Linked DNA regions of Drosophila melanogaster. Changing the gene in region 1 together with any one later gene gives a genetic interaction. Each region holds a gene or a part of one and is shown in the gene's direction. Other genes may lie near its edges. The genes, in order: RasGAP1, sty and aop.

The links.
Region 2: of RasGAP1 (region 1) and sty, changing one enhances a phenotype caused by changing the other (phenotypic enhancement), as found in Drosophila melanogaster (one study listed by BioGRID).
Region 3: of RasGAP1 (region 1) and aop, changing one enhances a phenotype caused by changing the other (phenotypic enhancement), as found in Drosophila melanogaster (one study listed by BioGRID).

The regions. Positions count from the first base shown.
Region 1 is NT_037436.4:9,853,618-9,857,373, reverse strand, and holds the start of RasGAP1 (Ras GTPase activating protein 1), read left to right. Parts: upstream 1-2,088; 5' UTR 2,089-2,561; coding exon 2,562-2,709; intron 2,710-3,756. UniProt on the Drosophila melanogaster protein: Inhibitory regulator of the Ras-cyclic AMP pathway. May function as a negative regulator of Ras85D/Ras1 in the sev signaling pathway. Acts cell autonomously in cone cell precursors as a negative regulator of R7 photoreceptor cell determination.
Region 2 is NT_037436.4:3,423,112-3,426,867, reverse strand, and holds the start of sty (sprouty), read left to right. Parts: upstream 1-1,932; 5' UTR 1,933-2,443; intron 2,444-3,756. UniProt on the Drosophila melanogaster protein: Inhibitor of tracheal branching that restricts branch budding by antagonizing the BNL-FGF pathway (BNL: branchless, an fgf inducer of branching).
Region 3 is NT_033779.5:2,176,840-2,180,595, reverse strand, and holds the start of aop (anterior open), read left to right. Parts: upstream 1-1,841; 5' UTR 1,842-2,749; intron 2,750-3,756. UniProt on the Drosophila melanogaster protein: Ets-related protein that functions as a negative regulator of photoreceptor development acting antagonistically to pnt and the proneural signal mediated by RAS. It acts upstream of SINA to inhibit R7 development.

The DNA.
Region 1 (3,756 bases):
AACGGTTTTGATATACTAATTGCCCTTGATTGGTATATATTTTAAAATCCATAAATTCAACAAAAAAAATCGAAGCTTGAAAATCATCTATAAATCTATTTAACAGCCTTTTCCTCTTGCCGTTTAAATGTATTCAAAGTGCGATTAGGAAAACCCACATTGGGGTCTTTTATGAGTATTTATGTGTAAACTTCACATTAACATGAGGTGGATAAGAAAAACTAAACGTTTTAAGAAACTTGTTCACGACGCAAATAGTAAACGAAGTTTACGAACCCATATTGACGTCAAGATCGAGTTAATACTAAATAAATGTTGTAAATTAGGGAGATCAAAAAACCCGGTCCAAATGGGTTTTTCATTCATAACGAAATAATAACGGAAGCTAGACAAATGACCAAAACACTTTTCCGGACATAAATATGAGAAAATATGGGAGGAGTGGGTTTATAAACAGGCCCAAAAACCTGAAACCGAAACTCGTAGACCCATTCATACGAATGGAAATGCCACAAAATACTATATTTATAACATCTGCGCCTAGCTTCGAATTTTGTGGGCGGGGCAAATGGAGGAGGAGGAGGAATCGAGTGGACAGCTGGAAACGGAAAAAAAGAAGAAAAGCCCTGTCTCCTCTTCTTCCCACGTCGGTTACGTTTCGTTGAGCGAAATGATCAACATATTCAAATGGTCGTTACGCACGCTACACAGAAAATAGCATTGTGAACGTTCTTAACAAATATTATGATACACTTTAAAAGCATATACTAAAGGGAAATGTTAATTTTCGATAAGTCTCTTTAAATTATTACAATTACTATAAACTATAACTGTGTTATAGTATTTACAATTATAATTTATTTTATATACAATTATTTTGCTCAGTGCAGTTGAAGTGACTAGATCAAATGCAGGGCATACGAAAACAATGAAACCCAGCCGAGCAACCATCCGAAATGTTGACCCGACCACTTCCACTTATTGGCGGCAGTTGTGATAAGATGCACCGCCTCACTTGTTGATCTCTCCCTGCCAGTTGTTGTTCTTGTTGTTGTTGTGATGCATGTGGTTTCCAAGGCAAGGAGCAGAAGCAACATATGCGTAAAGAAAAACATAAGCGGCGTTGCTGTCCGGATGCCGTGTGAATTTCACATTTCACTGCCTTGTTTCTGAATATTTGTGTACTTTTAATGTACATATGTGTGTACTATGTAGTTCCTCGGGTTCCTGTGGACTGTCTGCGATCCAGAACGCCCACGTAATGTGCGCTACGGTATAAACAGCCGGGCATTTGATTTTTACTTACTTTGCTAAGCATAACTAGCTATTGATACATGGTTATTGGAATAGATATGAATCTTAAACTGGTTGAATTTAAAAATAAACATTGCTTTCTGATATAATTCCTTAACGATCGATCATAAACAAAACAGGGTTTTTTATTGCTTTGTACCGCCCTTCTTAAGTCGCATATGCCTCGACTTTCTCTGCCGGCGATCTTCGGTTGTTTCCGCTGTTGGTGGCGCCGGTGCAACATGTGTGTGTGTTTAAGTGTAGGTGACCGCTGCTGCGTGTGTGCGTTTTCATTCACAAAATTTTTGGGAGGTGCATGTGTACACTTGCCGCTTGGAAATTTTAATTCAGTTCCATTTCGGCCGACCTGCAACACGTTCGTAATTCGGAGTGTGTTTCAAAGTTAAGCAACTAAAAACCAATCGGAATTAATAAAAACATCAATTAAACCTCAAGTTAAAATAAAAAAAACCAAAAATTCAGTGTTTAATAATAATCAATTTTAAATAAATTACAAAATATATAACTGTTTGTTGGAGCTAACGATATATATTCGATAGCCAGAACTGGTGAAATATCGAAATTAAACTTAAACATTTTTAATGAAAACCTTACTGTTGTGCTTAACTTAATAAGCATAAGCCGTTGTTGAATAAAATAAAAAAATTATTTTAAAACATATCTGCTTCAAACAAATTATTAAGCAAACATTAATCATTTGCGTTTCCCGTGGTATTTTCGGGGCACCGTGCTAAGGTCACACTAATTCGTTGGAGTCATACAACCGTCTCGCTACGGTCACTCTAGTTCTGATTCCGCTTCGAAAGGTTGTTCGCGGATGCGTGTAAACCCGCAAAGCAAATAAACTCGGAGAACCAAGTTTTTGCGATTCTGATTCAAGCAACCGAATTACTTTCCATACTTCGATAATATAATCCCACGTCTGCTAGTGCGTGCAAAAAACAGTTTGTAGTTAAAACGAAATACTAAAATCAGTCGAGCCCTGAAGCAACAGGGAAAGTGCATTTCGTGAGCGGCAAATCGACTCATATTCCCGTCACACCAGCTCAATGCACAATGCAACGCTGCAGCGAGTGATGAAATTCAAATGCAAATAGCCGGCTAATAAACCTGTTAAAGAAAAACAAATAATTTCGAGTTATTAAAGTTTCGTGAAGATCGAGTGAAGGAGTTAGATAAATTTCCAATCGCGTGTTGCAAGTTCCCCAGTGGGTAGCTGACAAAAAGCTGGCTGCTTTAAGCGCACAATGCTGCTGAAGAAGAAGCGCTATATGTTCGACGAGCGAGACGACAATAATATTAACTCGCCCGTCGCCGTCGAGCCAAGCAGCAACAACAACAAAATGGCCGATACACGCGAAGTGCGCATTGAAGAGCAATTAAAAGTGAAAATTGGTATGTAAATCGAGTGCGAAATCGTTCAAAAACATCAAAAATATGTCGAAGAACATGCGTGGCATGAACGTTGAGTGAAATACGCGCAGCAACGTGCGTTTTTTATGTTCCAAAGTGTGCTGGAATTTTGACAGCGTCGCCGTTTGCCCCGCGGAGCCTCTTCCAAGCAGAAAACAACATAGAATCGGGAGAATATGTCTAAAAGTTTTCCAAAATGTTGTGTAATCTAATGGCAAACCGAAATTTGTGCGAGTTGAGGCAAAGAAAGTCGATTAATTGAGAAAACAAATGTGTTTTTGTTCTAGAAATGCATATTGCGTTCAAGTGTATAAGCATGCTGTCCCGCTCTGACTCGCGTGTTGCTCTGTGCGTGTGTGTTTCTGTTGCCTTTTTCCCTGTGTGTGTGTGTTTTTTTTTCGTGCAGCAGCAGTGCAATACATTTGTTGTTGCTGCCGTTTGAGAAGTAATGGATGACCAGGCTGAATGTTACGGCATTCGCTTCTTGACCCACCCCCAGAACCGCTCTTCCTCCTTCATCGCCCAGCACACCCCCCGCAGTTTTGAATGCGCCCCTTTTTGTGAATGAATCGGAAATCAAGCATGTGTCTGTGAGACGCTCCAGCGCATGCTCACACACACGCGACAAACGCACACACACAAGCGGCAGAGAGATCCCAGCAACAATGTGTGGGTTTTTTTATGAATGGAATTTTCGAATTCGGTGTACTTTTCTCAATACGAAGGTGTCTGTTTTATGAATGATTATCAAAAGCAACAAGCGAAAAGAGCATCGATTAATGGCCTACTATATATTGGCAAGAGGTCAAATGAATGAATGACGCTCTCTCACTTTTCCTCTCCATTCTGCCATCCACTTCATTCTGAAGCGAGAGCGAAGCAGACTGCAAGAGATAGACGAAAAATAAACTTGCGGTTGTTTTTTGGTGGTTTTACATTTCCTGTTGAAACATAAAAAGTAAAACAGAATTATGAATAACCACTGGCTGTGTGTACTGTGCGGGGAGGGGGGGGGGGGGTTCAAAAGTT
Region 2 (3,756 bases), 6.4 Mb from region 1:
GAGTGCATAAACATGTTTGGTTGTTTAACTGTTATAACCAAGCTTATCTGAGTTAAGAAGATTTGAAGCTCGCTTTCTAAAAACTGCTTAATTCATATTCAATTCATATTTTGGTTTTTCCCTCGCTACTGGCTGCTGCTAAGAAAAATCGTGTTTCGTGTTCTTCCGAAAATTCAGAATTAAAACTCCGAATAATTGACAGAACCCATCGATTATCGGACGGAAGTGGTATTGGGAACGGATCTGCTTAGAGAAAAACAGCGACCACGCCAATCGCTGATTTCCAAATAAATATTTTGCACGTGCGTCTCGCTGCCACTTGTGCTGTGAGTGTGATTTTTATTTTTATTCTTTTGGCTGTCTGAAATTGCCCTCGAGTTCATGTTTAGACATTCACCTCGAGGCCAATGTGTTACCTCTGCCACTGCGGCGATTATCTAGGACACTTGTGACGTCAGGCGGGAAAACTGTTGGACTGGGGTGGCGTATTCATTGCGGATTGAATGCACGAAAAGCCATCAGAGCCAAACACCCAGACATCAACTTGGCCAACTTTCATACGGATTTCTCATTGAGCATTTTCGTTCAATGAAATTTCATTTATTTTTATTCTGTCCGTTCGCATTCACACTCATTTATTCGAATTTGTTTGCCCAAAAATGTTTCGGCCAATATACATACGTATATATAATTGAATGGCAGACCACTTTTTGTTGTCGAGTTTGATCTGATCGAATGATTCACATTTCGGTTGGCATTTCAATTTAGGGTCCAAACAATGGCAGATGTCCAGTTGTCCAACTCCGCAGCAAAGCAAATGAAATTCTTTCGGGGATACCCTTATCTTAAAAGGTTATTTTGTTTCTTTATGTTCTTGGGAAGTATTTAAAATATATTATTATTTAATGCTATTCAAAAAGTATCTTACTCAACTTACTCATCCTAAAATAACATTTTCCTAGCGCTCAAGAAAGTAATCCACATTCGTTTTTGAATCCAATTTAGCTCACTCAGCTTTCTTGTTAGACTTTAGCTTTTTATTGTTCTTTATTCTGATGTTCCTTATACATATACAATATATACGTATACAAATATATATGTAGAGTTATTGTGATGCGTACCGCCCATATGTGGAGCTCGGCGAAGTGGCTGCTTTCCGCCAAATTTGGTGCCGCATTCGACCGGATGTCGTTGGAAATAATATTGAAATCTTTATTATTTTCACTGATTAATTTATGGGGCAGTAAACGAAATGAGCTTTGAGTGTGCTGTTCGATTTTAATTTGGGAGCGGTGCACAGGGTGCTGGCTAATTTTCAAATAAGCCCGCCTTAAGGAGGCAGGGCAACCCTGGCCGAACAGCTGATGGACAACGGATGACCTTGGGGGTAATTGCAACAACCCCCAAGTGGAAATTCACTGCCATGGCCAATGTCGAGGCGACGCCTACCGAAGGTCGTTGCCAAGGCAACTGAGTGGGCCAGAGCCCAGCTCATTGGGCCAGGAAATGCAGGCGTGTGTGAGTGGGCGCCCATTGAAAGTGGCGATGCATTCAAAATGGCCGTCAAACGGACGACCTTGAAAGCCGAGTGCTCATTGGCCGGGCCACCGAGGCCAGGATGTTGGGTGGCGGGTGGCTGGTGGGTTGGTAGGCAATTGGAGGGGGCTGGATGGCCATGCAAATGGAGGGAACTGGGAGCCAGGAGCTGGGAACAGGAGCAACCAGCAGCCAGGAGCCAGGATTAGTCCTGCAGCAATAGCCGAAATCGGAAAACAATACGAATGTCGCACGAAGCCCACGCAATGTCGTTTCGTGTTTCGGATTTTGGGACCTTCGGCCCAACGAATGGGTATTCCCCTCCAGGACGAGATCCTATCGGCAATCTTCGGGTGAGGCTGCAGCTCCGATGCAAAAGTCGTGCAACATTGGCTCAGTCACTGGACGATAGTCAGGCTGCATTCAACGTGCAATCTCCGAGAACTTGTGCTTGCAAAATTATTTACCAAATATATATACCCGATATATATACAGTTGTATGTTCAAAGACACAACGCAATTAGCGATTAATAGATGCGCACACGGCGTATGCGTAATTTAAGTGAATCCAAGTAAAAGTGCGCGTGTTTTTAAATAATTAACAATTTTAAATAGTAAACTATCCCATTGAAAAAAAAAACATAATCATACATAGCGTAAGCCTCTTTAACTTTATTACAAATTAATCGTGCTATTAATCAATTAACCAAGGCATCTCGTTGAGTACAGTTGCCACCAGAAAAACAAAACAACTCAATCAACCCCAAAAACCAGAACGAACAAAGGCGAGCTGTACCGAGCCAAAAAAAATCTCTAATCAAATTATCCGCATTATCTGCAATCGAGTCGACCAAGCCGAGGAAAACTTTCAACCAGAACCCATCCATCAAGCAACTTCCCTTCACCGGTGAGTAGCTTCATTGTCCCTTGTCCATCTCTATCAATATATGAACCTTCGCAGTCGAAGAACACTTAAATGTCTCAAGTCATTCATATTGTCAATTGGAACTTTGGATCTTGACTTTTTGTTCTTCTCTTGAGAGCTAAAAGTCACCCAAAGGTTAAGTGACCAGTGCTCATCAGTTGGAAAGGCATTAAAAGTCATTTATATGCCAGTGATTTTTATGCAAGAGATCTTATCGAAGATTTGTCAAGGATATTATAAATGTATTATAAAATGTTCATCCATTTGAATCTTAAATATCTGAGTAAATACGCGGTTGTATAGTTTGTAGAAATTGGGAATTAAATTTCTGGAAAAGTTGAAAAGTCTATCCTAGCCAATATTTTAAAAAAACAAGATCAACTCGATAAAAATAAATTCGTGACATTGTTTCTTTTAGTCAAACAATGATGAACAATTTCCCTACAATATCTTTGAGCTTTGAGTAATGGAATAACATTTAATCGATAGTATGATAGGTCTTAATTTTATAAATTTGTCATCTGTACCCTTTTTCCCTACCTAAAAATCAAATCTTATGCCTGAGCCTTAGAGCTTAGGCATTCTGGAATGCCATAAATCATTTTCACTGCCCCAAATGGGGGGAAAGGCGGAATCGGCGAGGATGAGTGGGGCGAAGTGGCTGGAAGAAGGCTCTTAAGTTAATTTAGTACTTTGTTCGCTGTGCCAGATCATTAAAATTATTTGGCGACTTTGAAAAATTCGAAACAGTAGCCCACAAATACCGACAGCTGAACGAATCTCGAAATGAAATTGGTTTGGCTGATGAGGATGGAGATCGTGTTTTCGTTCGCCGGCTACCCGCTGCGTTTGTCTGCAGATGTCTCATAAACATGAAGACCAACCAGTCCCTACCCTCCGAATATATATCTTTTTTCGAAATTTGTATAATCTGTATGCGAATCATAATGACGCGAAATCAAGATCGGACTGAAGGCTGAAAGCTGAGACACACTTTGGCCTTTTATGCCAGCTCACATGGAGGCTGAGGCTCAGCAAGAATTTTAAAAACTTAACCCATTTTGCAAACATAATGTAGTTTTACATTTGAATATATAAATGGGGATATTATGTATAATTAAATTCTGATATAAATGTAGGCAATAATCATTGTTTAAATCATAGCAAAGAATTGCAAATTGGAAAGTCCTTTAATGATTAAAGAAGTCATAAGAAGTACATTTAAATGCAAGGTCTTGGTCTGTTTCTATATGACTTTGGGTAAAACCAAAGCATCTGGGAGTTTTCCTAAAACC
Region 3 (3,756 bases), on another chromosome or scaffold:
GAAATACAGATGTACAAACGCTGATTGGCTCAATTGGACGACTATTTGAACTCTGACCCCTGTGCGATCCTCATCGGCAGCTCTGCCCCTTCCGCCCCGTCCTCCTCCTCCGCCAGCCACCCTTTCACCCTGGAATTTCCCGATGGGCGACGCACCATGACCGAAGCTACTAATTTGGGCCAGTGATCGTCGCTGCGGCGATCACTTGGAAACGTCGTCATCGCCATCGCAGCTATCGACGGAAAAGATAGCACTTGAAAAAAATATCTCTATTATATTTCTTAATTAGAGTCACAATCTAAAAGTTCTTTAATGTTTCATATCACGAGGCTTACTCGCTAAACTATTTATAGCCATAAAAATACATGTTACTATTTATTACTTACCTAAATGCCCATTAATCTAGATTTTCTTTCAGTGCATACCCACGGAACTGAGCAGGGGCGTGCAGGGCGTGGGCGGGGTCGTCCGGCTGGTCGCCGTTTATGGGCATTTGACTTGAAATGTCAACGTAAACGTTGCTCGTTGCTCGGGGAGAAACTGGTTAGCCAACTGAGGCGACTGGAGACCCCAAAGCGGATGCAGTGCAACTGAGCGCATCTTCAGGCCCACCGACCGACCGACCAACCGACCGTCCAAGCAACCTGACGAGGAACCCCAGCCCCGCCCCCTTTCCAAAGAGATTTTCCGTCGCAGCCGAGCGGAAATGTTCCAACAATTTATAATTAAAGATTGCCAACTGGTTTCCATGAAGATCCAAGATTTATGGGATCGAAAACACCTATCAGCTAGCACCTCCAAACATTTTGTATTACAATAGAGCGCTTTTCCCAGGCGCGTGGCGCTTATTTCATTTTCGGCCAGGGGGTCGTATTCATAATTATTTCAAATGCTTGAGAGCATTATCGCACACTGATTAGAGTTCACGGAATTGTCTTATCTATGGTTTATGTGCAAAAAGCTCGCCAATAGTCACAATTGACAGCTAATGGGTATGGCATGCTCGATCATTTCAAGTTTCCAGTCACAATAGGTGTGTATGTTATCTAGTGAGAGAACGATCCCTTGGTATTTCGGCGCCCATGCTTCTGGTATCAGCATGAATCGTTTGTTTAAACTTTATCTTCTATTGATTAACAACTAAATCGAGCGCCCCACGCGAATTCGACGCCGCCCACAGACAGCGGTTGCCTATTGAGTTGTTTCGTAGTAAACTTTGGTGGGTTTTAAATTATTTAAATTATTACCTCTGCGAGCTGTTGCTTCTTTCGTTGCCAAGGAAGTGGATGGTGGATCTGTAAATGTTTACGCGCCTAATGATTTGTTTGTGGTCTTTGCACACACTCCTACTTCTCAGAGTATAATAACATAATCGAGATTATTATGGCAATTGTGGGGAATCTGGGAATTTTAAAAAATTACGAACATAAAATACGTATGTTAATTGAGATTATTGTGAAATTATTCCGGAATTGGAATTGGAATTTTGTGGCGCATGCAAGTCTCTCAAGCTCTGATATAAGATTGTTTATAAATATTGAAATATAATGAGCAGCTCAGGGGTGTCTTTCAATCGTTAAAACTTTAACTCATATAAGACTGGCGCATCAAAGCTTCACTGTACCTCAAAATATAGGTCCGATTTAAGATATAAATCTTGGACGCTAAAACGGATACGGATCAAAGCGCGACTTCCTTAAAAAATTATCTTATTTTCGTATTCTTCACCAGTTCTTTTTGAATTGTTTTTGCTGTATGTCGCTCTCTTTGCTTCTCTTTCTCTTTCGATTCTCTCTCCGCATGCGCCGACTTGTTCATGTTCGCCGCCTGTTCGAATCGAATCGGCAGTCAAAAAGAAACTGCCGTGCTGGGCGGACGTGTAGAAGAGTCGCTCCTGAAAGCAACTAGACATTCTGCTGTAAATGGCAAACTAATATGTTTTAAATTGATTAATTCACAATTAATAGAATTTAATTCGTGCGCGGCGTTGAGGAAATAAACGGTTCTTCTTAACTCGGTGTGTGTTTACATTGCCCGGTGTGTGTGTGCGCGAAACGGAAATAAAAAATAAACAAGAGCGACAGCAACAACGCCAACAACAACAGCAACATCAGCGAGAGCAAAGCAACGCAACAAGAAGTGCAAGCAAAAGTGAAAAGGAAGACGAAAGAGGAAATGCCAAAGTACAACAACAAATACACGAACAAAACGCCAGAGTGCAAGTGCATCGCGTGAGTGTCTTACAGTGTGCGTGTGCGTTTGTGTGCCCGCGTCTGCCTGTGTGTGCGTGCTGCTGAGGCGGCGGCGGAAGTAAAAACGCTTGACTTCGCCTTCTTCTTATTCATTTGCTCCGCTTTACGGCTGGCATTTGTCGCAGAACGAAGCGAAAACAAAAACAAAAACAGAGAGCCTGGATTAGCCCCAAAAGCACACAACCACCGCCCACGCGGCGCCCCTCACCAAAAGGAAACAGCAACACAAACAACAATGGCAACTTGGCGCGACGCCCTCTTCGTCATCAGCAGATAACAACAAGAACAACATCGAATTAACAGAAACAAAACCAAAAACAAAAATAAAACAAGAAAGCGAAGCAAAAGCTAAAGCATTCTGGGATCTGGACATATCCGCTTCCGCGTTGCTTCTGTCGCTAAAAAGCTCAAGAATCGAATCCGAAGCCCAACGCAAACAGACAAATTCACTCACTCACCTTACAGTACGTAACCACAGTGCACAGTGGAGCAAACAGGTGAGAATTTTGATAATTTGTATACTTTTTGTTGTGAACTGTTAAATTAACCATTGTCAAAATAGTAGCAGAAAAGAGTGTCAAAAATAAAAACATTTTTTCTCAATATGTAAGCACAATGGTTTTTATATCTGGAGTTCTTTTATATTCGTAATCGTGCAAGAATCGGTGTTTACAGACATTACCCCTGTATCACTCCATTGCCGTCGTTGCTTTTTTTTACGAATTGGTTAAAACACCATCTTTTGGTACATGTATTTCCCATAACTACGTCACAATGGTCATGGAAACAGAAAAGTGTCTTGTCTGAGCAGCTGATAAATAATTGCTCCACCTTAATCTGGCTTTGGTTATCTGCTGCATATGACTTCCCCACTTCGCTCCACCCGACGTCTTACAATGTCTGAGTTTTGGTCTCTGGTTGAGGTCAACAATTTGTCGGATCTACACGTGTAAACAGATAACTTGGGCTATATTTGGTTCGCAGTACACTCATATGAGATGGATGAAGACTCGGCAACAACGGTTTATCTAAGGTTTAGTTGATTTATTTGCCTGTTCAGAGGATCTGATTGTGGCGTTTTCATTTGGGGCTTGTTTAAATAATAAGAGTTACAATTTTATGGGGATCTTGGGAGTGGTTTTATAGTTTAATTATTGTTTTGTTATCTGATTGTTGCGCATAATTTGTTGTATGTTCTTCTTGTTTCCAAATATGATTAGATATTTCTTACAGTCTAGTTGGATTGTGATTAATTATTACCTGTGGTTGGTTGAGAACCATATGCAAATACTCATAGCTCAGTCTAGTAACAATATGATATGATAGTAATTTCTCTTCCCAAGCCCAGTGTCTTGACTCTCATTGTATGCACGGTACGCTTCACCGATTCCCTAGCATTCTACAATACGAACAAGATCGATTCACTTGGAAAATAGCCTCTTCTATTTTCACATTCCACTCCACATTACGGTACCTGGGTGCTTTTCGTAATGCCCGTTGCATC